Linked DNA regions of Arabidopsis thaliana. The protein of the gene in region 2 interacts with the protein of the main gene of each other region in a pairwise test. Each region holds a gene or a part of one and is shown on either strand. Other genes may lie near its edges.

The links. Proteins that work in one complex are often made in the same cells at the same time.
Region 1: the proteins of AT3G54190 (region 2) and AT1G14330 interact in a two-hybrid assay, tested with the Arabidopsis thaliana proteins (one large-scale study listed by BioGRID).

The regions. Positions count from the first base shown.
Region 1 is NC_003070.9:4,889,532-4,894,432, forward strand, and holds AT1G14330 (Galactose oxidase/kelch repeat superfamily protein), read right to left. Parts: upstream 2,802-4,901; 5' UTR 2,170-2,801; coding exon 844-2,169; 3' UTR 538-843; downstream 1-537.
Region 2 is NC_003074.8:20,060,880-20,066,064, forward strand, and holds AT3G54190 (Transducin/WD40 repeat-like superfamily protein), read right to left. Parts: upstream 3,283-5,185; 5' UTR 3,002-3,282; coding exon 2,810-3,001; intron 2,678-2,809; coding exon 2,530-2,677; intron 2,453-2,529; coding exon 2,302-2,452; intron 2,212-2,301; coding exon 2,086-2,211; intron 2,008-2,085; coding exon 1,927-2,007; intron 1,777-1,926; coding exon 1,584-1,776; intron 1,493-1,583; coding exon 1,222-1,492; intron 1,122-1,221; coding exon 880-1,121; 3' UTR 539-879; downstream 1-538. Other genes in the region: CDKB1;1 (cyclin-dependent kinase B1;1), read left to right, coding at 1-136, 279-371; AT3G54200 (Late embryogenesis abundant (LEA) hydroxyproline-rich glycoprotein family), read left to right, coding at 4,852-5,185.

The DNA of each region.
Region 1 (4,901 bases), on a different chromosome or scaffold from region 2:
CTGAATCTTTTTGTGACTCTTTTGTTTAAGCTCTGAAATGATTTTGTTCCTTCGTTCTTGGCCATATATCTTTCATTTGCAAGTTTTATCATGGCTTTAGCTTTAAATATTTTAATTGAAGATTTGCTTGAAAATCGTTGAAGTTTTAGATAGAGATGGGTGATTGCCTTGTTGGATCATTTAGTATGCATAAAAGATTTGAAATTAGCATAGCAAGCCCATCTTAGGTATTGTCATGCAAGGCTGAGAGTTCAAAGAGAAAATGACAGAGACCTACCTACACGTCAAAATCAGATGCAAACTGCCATTTTCCTGATTAAGTCTATCTTTGTTTTTTTTACTTTTCAAAGAATTAATTGCCATAATTTCTGAAGAAGGAAGCAAAAATCCCAAAACAGAGAACCAAGAGAAAGGAGAAAAATTGAAAAGTTTATGGTATTACTTGCAAGCAAAAGATCAAGTTATCTTGCAAACAACAACTATAAGATTAAAAGCTCTTTTTCTTCTCTTATCAGAGAATTGAAAGAAGAACACACAAAACACATAATATAGTCTCTTTGCGAAAAAATGAATGAAACGAATATAAACAAAAATTTTAACAAATAGTATAGCAGAACTGAAAAACTCTAGATTCTGAACTTTCTCCACCAAACTTATTACAAGACCTGTTTCTGTTCTTTCCAAGAAACTAACAATACCACCAAGATGATTGTATCCAATTGAATTCAAATAAATTTCTTTTATAACCAAAATTAATAAGAAAAAAAAGACTGCAACTTTCGACATCTCCAACGGCAGGAGAATCATAAAAATCATCTGAAAGTTATTGTTGAAACCCTTTTATCAGCAACCCATCACCGCGCAATTGTAAACAAAATTCGATGAATGTTTCCTACCGAGCAATGTCCATAGAGGCGGACTTCGATCACTAGATGGTATCCATGAATTCAGTTCAATGTACCCTCCACCTGAACTCCTAGGACCACCAATCACAATCAACCTCTCACCGCAAGCTCTAAACGCTAATCCCCAACCGTTAACCGAGTCAGCTCTTTCGGGCAATCTCCCTAAAGTAAACCATTTCTTACTCTCCTTATCATACTTCCTCACTTCCATATCAGCATGATCAGCAGCATACAATTCGTTATTCACAACCGCAACAAGAGGCGGCGCCTCTGCTGCTGCCGGCATTTCCCGGCTCCTTGGAGGCGACATTTCCGGTATCTCAGTCCATTTCTTCGTCTCTAAATCAAACTCCTCACCACAAGTAAGCACTTTCGAATCATTTCCACCAATTCCTCCAATCACATAGAACTTCCCATCCATGAAAACACCTGAACACATCTTCCTTGGTTTATTCATCTTCGGAAGTGTAGTCCAAGTCTGAAGCTCGGAGTTATACATCTCAGCGGAATCACTGATTTTGCCAAAAGAATCAAAACCACCAGCAAAGATCGCAATCTCTCCTAGACTCGCTGAGCCAAACAAACACCTCGGAGAATTCATCCTCATACCGGAAGACCAAGAGTTAGTCAAAAGACTATATCTATATATAACATGAGAAGAGTAATCATCTTTGCCTAACACAAGCAAATCCGTACCAACAGCTAAAGATTCTTTATCGGCACACATGAATGTAACACCTGAAGGCATTGTAGGCAAATTCATCCATCTTCTTTCAAAAGGATTGAAAGCAACCCATTCCAAAAGCTGACAAGAGAAGTAAACCCAATGTTCAACAATCTGGTTTTGCCTCCTGAGTCTATAAATCTCTCCGGTCTTCACCAAAGACCGAAAACTCCGGTTTAAAGAAGCAATCGAACCGTAACCAGACCTCGAGCAACGAATCAAACAGCTTATAGAATTGTCTCTGCCAATATCATTGATAAGTGAATCGCCATCGCTATTACCATTGTTGTTAGAATCAGATTGGTCTTGTTCTTGTTCATCTTCTTCAATGGCTTCATTCCCATGAATTGAAAATCCCATCAATCTGGGAGACTTGCTCTGTCTGAGCTCATCAACATCATTCTCCAATGCTCTTTTGCCATTGATGAGATTAGATTCAGAGGAATCTTCTGGTTGTGGATACATGTATGGCCACTTTGATTCTGAAAGACGAGAACTTGAGAAAATCCTTGACATCAAATATGTCCGATCTTCCACCATCTTCTCCGTACAGATTCCGATGTTAGAGAAATCAGATCGAGACGAGACCAAACACGAAATGCAAAATGGCTAAAAGAGAGAGAGAGATTCTGAGAAATCAAAAGACGATTAGATGATCCAAATCTCGATTGATAAAAATGGATTCAGAAGGAAAAACAAAAATTTGTCTCTTTATTGAAACATCAATCGCCAAAACAAATTTGGTAGCTTCAAAAGTCAGATCTTTAGATTCCAAATTTGACTCGGAAAACAAAAAAAGAAAACCCAGAAAAACGAATCACTGATCTGAATATGATTCCTTTAGCGGAGAAGAAGAAGGAGAGAACAATGGAGAATCTTTAACAAGGAAGAGATTATATAATAATAATAATAATAATAATAAGAAGAAGAAAGTACTTACGGATTTGGATTAACGAAAGAGAAAGAACAAAAAAAAAGAAGATTAAGAATATTTATTCAATTGTGGTCTGTTGGAAACTCTCTGCGAATCGGAAGTGAAGCGTAATGAGTTTCCTCAGGTCTGAAAGTTAAACTCTTTGGATGTCGAATTCAACTTCTCTCTCTCTCTTTCCTCTGTTTTATTCTTCTTCTTTTTTTTACTTGGGTTAAAGCTTTTGGAAACTTAATTAATTTAGTAATAATGGTTTCTCTTTCTACATGACGTCCGTAGTCCAAATTATTCAGATAAGATTTTCATAAAAGGAAATATTTTAGATTAAAAAATCAAGAAATTCAAAACTGTTTCTAGTTTTGTTTTGTTTTCTAGTGTTTTGAAGTTAATTAAATGTTCTAAAGTTTCAGTACTTTACTTGTTTATTTTTTTCCTCTGGTCAAAGGATGTTAAATTGCTTTGTAGTAAAACTCTATGTACGTCATAGTTTTTATTTCTTTGTTTTTCTACAAATGTACGTCACCAAAAAAAAACAACTTTACGTTTTAAAAGATAGATTTCTGTATGTAACTATTGACAATTTTTGAAGGTAAAGTTGATTTTTGTGAAGCACAGGCTAATTTCCGTGTTCAATATTTTTTTTGATTAATATACAATTTATCTGACCAATTACACGTTATAAAATCCTATATTCCACAAAGAAAAATATTAATATTATCTCTATTGAATTATTTTAGTTGTTTGCTAATACGAAAAAAAAGAACATATAAACGATTTTAACTAGACTACTAAAACTTTTTTTTTTCTTTTTTGACTAGTAAAACTTGAACACTACAATAATTATCTTAGACGAGATATATGAATTTTGGTTTGAAATTGTATCGATGGAATATAATTAGTGGGACAAATAAAGGACGACCTAGACGCATTTCCACGAAATATTATTTAGGAATATATAGTAGTACTTTTTCATTGGAATATAATTATACTTTTTCTGTTCTTCGAACATAACATTTCAGTTAAAAACTGTACTGGAAAGAAGAGGATGTATGTTTATCTGAATAAGCTGAACAGATAAATTAGGAAAACGAGAAAGCTGTCGACAAAGTGATCTAGAGGTTCACGGAGCACGTGTTGACGCACGTGGGAGTATATCTTTGCACATTAAATCATGAAATTAGTGTATTAATACCATTGTTATTACTAGTAGTTTATTACCGAGATTAATGCATTACTTATTTGTTGTCCGTTGACCAGAACTGATATGGTGGGTGGGCTCTTTTATCTCATCGGAAAAAATATTATTCGTCCGTTCTCTTGGACGTGTTGGTTTATCATAATTTTTATTCATCTACAAGTGTTTTATCGTTTAGCTGATGGCCTTTTTCAAAGCATGAGATAAATCTAAATGTAACAAATACTAAAAGATTAGTAAGACACTTATTATTATTATGGATAAAGGTCTTGATCGTACCATATGTTATCTTTACATATTTCACGCATTGATTAGAATTTTGATAAATCATCGAAGCTTAAGTCGCGCCGAAAGATTTTAGCGTGCAACTAAAGGATTATTATATTGCGAGTTGCATCTTGGCAGCTGTAATCCACTCATTAATTGCCACGTGTGAAGGCCATCTTTAAACATTATTTGGACGGTAGAAAAGAGCTTTATCAGTCGTTAGAATTTGTGAGTAATCTAATCAAATCATTTGCATATCTATCTTTCTAAACTGTGTTTTTTCTCTTATTTTGTTATATCTATCTTTTTATTTAGTTTTTGCTTTATCTTCTTAAGGCGAGATGTATGGTATCGTTAACAGTTAACACGGTATTTTGACTATTATCCAAGCTCGTGAAACCTTTTCATAAGTAATTCAAGGTGCAATGAAAATGAAAAAAAAAAAAAAATCGTTGAAGTTGACATCGTATAGAAGAGGTCTAAGATCCATATTTTATGTACTACTTTATAAATAAATTACAAATTTAATCTTTGAGACATTGTGGTGTTAATAATAACCATTTTGTATTTACTGAATTTCGATAATGTTTGTGACGTATTGTTCTATCAAAGTTTCCAAGTTTGATAAGATTTTTGGAGTCAAAGGTCAATAACTATGAATTTAAAATTCCGTTACCTTTCAACGATATTTATCTAATACTATCTCAGCAGAAATGCAGTTACCCTTAATTAATAAAAATATATATATATTCTACAGAGCTGTTTGTATTTTCATATGGTAAAGTTTCATTATCTTTTCGTTTTCAATGAATATTGGTTTTGACTTTTGACCACAAAAACAAAATGAATATTGGTTGGAGAAAGGTTAAATATAAATTT
Region 2 (5,185 bases):
GCTAGGAACACCAACTGAGCAGCAATGGCCGGGTGTTTCCACACTGCGTGACTGGCATGTTTACCCTAAGTGGGAGCCGCAAGACTTAACTCTTGCTGTTCCTTCTCTTTCACCTCAAGGAGTTGATCTTCTCACGGTAAATAACTCCCTGATGACCATAGCTTTGTTGCAAAGTTGCTCTAATATTGTTACCTCTTGCTTCTGCTTCCCTCTTTTTTTCCTAAGCTGAATTGCTTGGTTAAATCTTTCTGATTGAGCTTATGTTTGTACAATTGCAGAAAATGCTCAAGTACAATCCAGCCGAAAGAATTTCAGCAAAAACAGCACTTGATCACCCATATTTTGACAGCCTTGACAAGTCTCAGTTCTGAAGTTCATTGCTGTATCTGTTGTCATCGTCTTGGTGAATTTAAACATTTGATCTATCTTTGTTTCCGACACATTAGTGTCTTATGTTTGGTTTAGAGATTTGTAGTCTTTCAGAAGAAACTGGTAAAGCTTGTATTCTCAAGTGAATGTAAAACACAATGGTGTGGTAGCAATGAGATGATTTTCTATCAATCGCTTGTTTTTGTGTAATCATACAAAGTTGATGCTCAACTATCTGAATCAAGTCAATTTTGAAAATTAAAGTGAGACCTTACAGGTGGAATAAAGGGTCTTTCATAGAATTGTCAAAACCCAAATGTTACGTACAATGGTATTAGTGTACACAACTGGCATTCTGACGCGCACACTTGCCCACAAATGGTTTACAACACAGATGGCTGCTCAAAGACACTAAGTTAAAAAGATTTATCGCTACACACAATTGAAGGAAACCAAATGATACATTCGTAGTAGTAGTAGTAGCAGCTAACGATGACGATGTATGTGAAATCAATTGGACCACACATGAACAAGGCCGTGTCTGTTTCCTGTGTATATCTCATTGCGTTCTTCGTCGTAGAAAAGAGCGGTTATGTCTTCCAAAGCTTCAGCTACAGCGTTTCTTCTTTGCTTTGAGTTCTTTCCCATACAATTACTGCTGCTGCTCTCATCATCTTTTGGAGGCCCACTGCTTGGTGTTATTTTAGCTAAGCATTTCCCAGTCAATATATTGCTGATATTGATTGATCCCGCTGGATCATCCCACAAAACACCAATAATCAATATCCATCAATGAGATTTGTTAGGTTATAATATCTGGTTAATATTATCTTGAGGGGTTATTTTTCTTACCATTTCCTTCTATCCACTGATCTTCGGTATCTGCTTTGCAGTACGAGATGATCAGATCTTGATCACTTGTAATGTAGATATTATTAGTGTTACAGTCTGGATGCCATAGAAGATGGTCCTCAAAGGAAGTAACGAGCTCTCCGCGAAAGTTCCACACAGAAACGTTCCGGTTCCTGAATGTCAGAAACAACTGGTTCTCATACAGAAATATGAATGCAGACGGTGTCATGAACTCAGCTCTACTAACTTCCATTAGCTCAGCATTTCTGACCTGAATTTGTAAATCAGAAACCAACTTGATAAAGAAAACAAGTAAAACAACAGCTAAAAGATTGATTGAATCAGACAAAAAATCAACTCACGTCAAGAATTTGAAGATTCTCATTCTCTTGCTTAACAAGAAGTTTCTCATTGAATTGTTCAATGAAGTCAACTTTCTTGTTTCGGTGAAGCAAATGATTGAAGGACTTGAGAACAGTGCCATCTTCTATCGACAGAATCTTCAGAGGAACATGACTGGCAGCTCTCTTGAAGATCAATAACATTATCCCTGGACTGATGCAGGGAATCAAATGGGCACAACAGTTAGAAAATTCACAAGTCTGTCAATCCAATCTAGTGGACAGCACAGTTAGAAAAGCAGCTTGCTCAATATTTGCAAACAAGAAACAACAAAAGGGTCAAAGAAAGATGGAGAAAAGTTACCTGATTTTAATTTCCTGGACATTTTTATCTGATATCGAATATAGCATGGTGTAGTTTTTCAGATCAAACACCTTGTATACACTGCAGAAACAGCTATCAGGCTCAGAGGATGAAACTTGTCGTAAAAAAAAATTTAGGCTGTGAGACTAGAAAAATAACCTGTCCTGCGCAGAATAAGTCAGCACCTTTCCATTGACATCATCAAACTCAACAAAACCAGGCCACTTTAATGATTCAGACTCAAAAAGAGCAAACCCTGCATCCGGCTGACCTCTCAGAATATACCTAATAGTTGATTACAACCAGAAACACACATTAGTTTGAATAACGCAACAGACGACATGATACCGATTTGGTAGATGGTAGAAAACTTACTCAATTCTAGTGGATCTGCATTTCAAAGAGCTGAAATTGTCTGAAGCATAAACAGAAACTGTGATGAGAGAATCATTGTTCTTGTTGTAGAACAAGCTCCTGATGACTTCATCTGGACTAACATTTAAAAAGCATATTCTTTTGTTCGACTCTGCAGTTTAAGGTAAATCATACTATCAGTCACATAGACACAAAGCTGAGAGTAAGTAGTCAAGTTACGATAATTACCTCTACTAAAAGCTGCGCAAACACCAGAATGTGCAAGCGCAAAAACAATGTCCCTTGCAGCAACAATCTCAATAACTTTAGTTCTCTTCATCAAAAACGGTAATGCAACTAAACAGTGCCCTTTAGGATCGTGAGTATCATATTGCTCCTGAAATCAAAATTCATCAAGCAAGAGCAGCTTAAATTAGTACTCAAATCAAATCCCAATTAAGAGAGAGAAGCAATCTCTAGGGTTTGGGAATTAGGGCAAATTACAAAAGATTGAAAATTCAGAACATACCACGAGACGCATGTTACGAAATCTCTCTTGGGCGGTGCTAATAGAGAAAGCTCGATCTTTACGAGAAGAGATTTCTCTTCGTTGAAGCTTTTTAACACTGTTGACGAATCCATCGGGTCGAGACCTTTTCTTAGCCACAATTCTTCTTCCACTACAAGGTCTAGGGCTTGCCGTAATCCTTCTTCCTTCCATCTAATTCTTCCTTCTTCAAGCCCAAATATTTCCAAGTAGGTTTTGAATTTTTGTGGAAACCCTAAAGGATGAAGAAACCCTAAGAGGAAAAAGAAGAAGCGAGAGAGTTGGGTAATCTCTAGGAGGAAGACGAGAAGTGACGGCTACTACATGGGAGTGTGACGTAAGACTTTTTTGCAGATTCAGATTGGAATTAAGCTGATTTCAATGATTCAGAGCTCTTTTTTTCTTTCAAAATCTCAATTTCGAGCACGAACCAGCCGAACCAATCCGAAGCATCGTAGATCGTAGAAAGATAAAATTAATATTGAATATTTTTAAAACGCAGCGTTTAAGGGGTTGAAAGAAATTAACTTTTATGGGCTGTGATGGATGGCCCAGCCCAATAAACCTTGTGACAATTGATTAGTTTGCTTGATAGAATTCTTCGAAAATATTTAATTATTTTGTTTTACTATTAGTATTTTTAAAAAATTCATGAGTCAACTACACGAAAAAACGTCATCACATAGTCACACATGTAAGTTTTTTTAATTATACGAAGTATTGCTTTCATATACGACCATCAATCATGTTTACAAACACTATAACAATCTTACACCGTTATTTTGGTTGTCAAAATCCGGCATCGACTTATTATTTTGGAATTGGATATTTATGTTTATTTGTTATTTTGTTTACCAGCCATATTATTTTATAAGTAAAAGTCATTGATTGGTTATCCAATTTGTAAGATAAAAGGTTTAGAAATGAAACATCATTAAATTTTGTTCTAATACATTGGACTAAATCACTAAAACAATCTATTTGAGAATTTGAATATGTTCTAATTCATATGCTATTGTTCAATGCGTTTTGGTAAAAATACTATAGTTGACTTTCAAAATTTTCTAATAATTTTTTTTAAAAAAACTAAAAAATAGAGTAAATGTTTAGGTAAAAGTATCGTAAATTATTGGAAACTTACTTTTCAATGATGTGATTCTAATAACTTCTATCGTGGGATTAAAAAAATGTCAGAAACTCAACAGCAAAAAGTCAATAAAACAAATGGGCATTCAAATGCATGATGAATTTAATAAGAGAGACAGATTAAACGGGCCAAAATCCAGAAGTCGTCCCGTGTAAATGAAGAAATGGGCCCAGAAAAAGACGGTGAATTAGTCATTGAATATGTTACGTAATAACCACACGAAATTAGGCAAAAGCGACGGATGATGCATCAAGCATGGTCTCTTTACAAAAGCCATGTGAAGTATTTGATTTCTACCGCTAACCTCACTTTATTATTTTTATCATCTCCCTTCTTCCACGTCCAGCTGAATTAATTAATGCACGTCTTCGAAACATTATTAAAAATGGTCAAATCTCAACTCAATCAATACCGATTTTAATAAAATTCAACTAACAACCATTTTTATAAAGAGCTGTCTTTACGACGTTCGACGAACATTATGTATGTTTTATACTTTTATCCGTTTTTATTTTATTTTTCTAAATACTTATTTTATGAATTTAGAAGTGTGTTACAAAATTAAATTGAGATTCCATTTACAGACATACACCAAAAAAAAAAAAAAAACTAGTATCTCATCAAATTCTTCCCAATTTATGAAAATGTAATTTTCATCAATTAACTATTTTTTTAAAAAATATACTCGTGGAAAATCAAGAAATATTAAAATGTAAAATAACAAATTATTAAAATGAAATGTGTTTGAGTCATGTAATTAAAAACTGGTAACGAATCCGCGTACAAATAGTGGTCTCCTCCTTTATAGGATAAACCAAAACCCCTGAGAAACTCAACAGCGAGAGAACCACAAAGCGTAACAAAGAGAGTAATAACTATGAGTGATTTTTCAATCAAACCCGATGATAAAAAGGAAGAGGAGAAGCCAGCAACAGCCATGTTACCACCACCCAAACCAAACGCTTCTTCCATGGAAACGCAATCTGCTAACACCGGAACCGCTAAAAAACTGCGGCGGAAACGCAACTGCAAAATCTGTATCTGTTTCACTATCCTTCTCATTCTCCTAATCGCCATAGTTATCGTCATCTTAGCTTTCACTCTCTTCAAACCAAAACGCCCAACTACTACAATCGATTCCGTCACCGTTGATCGTCTCCAAGCTTCCGTCAATCCTCTCCTTCTCAAAGTCCTCCTAAACCTAACGCTCA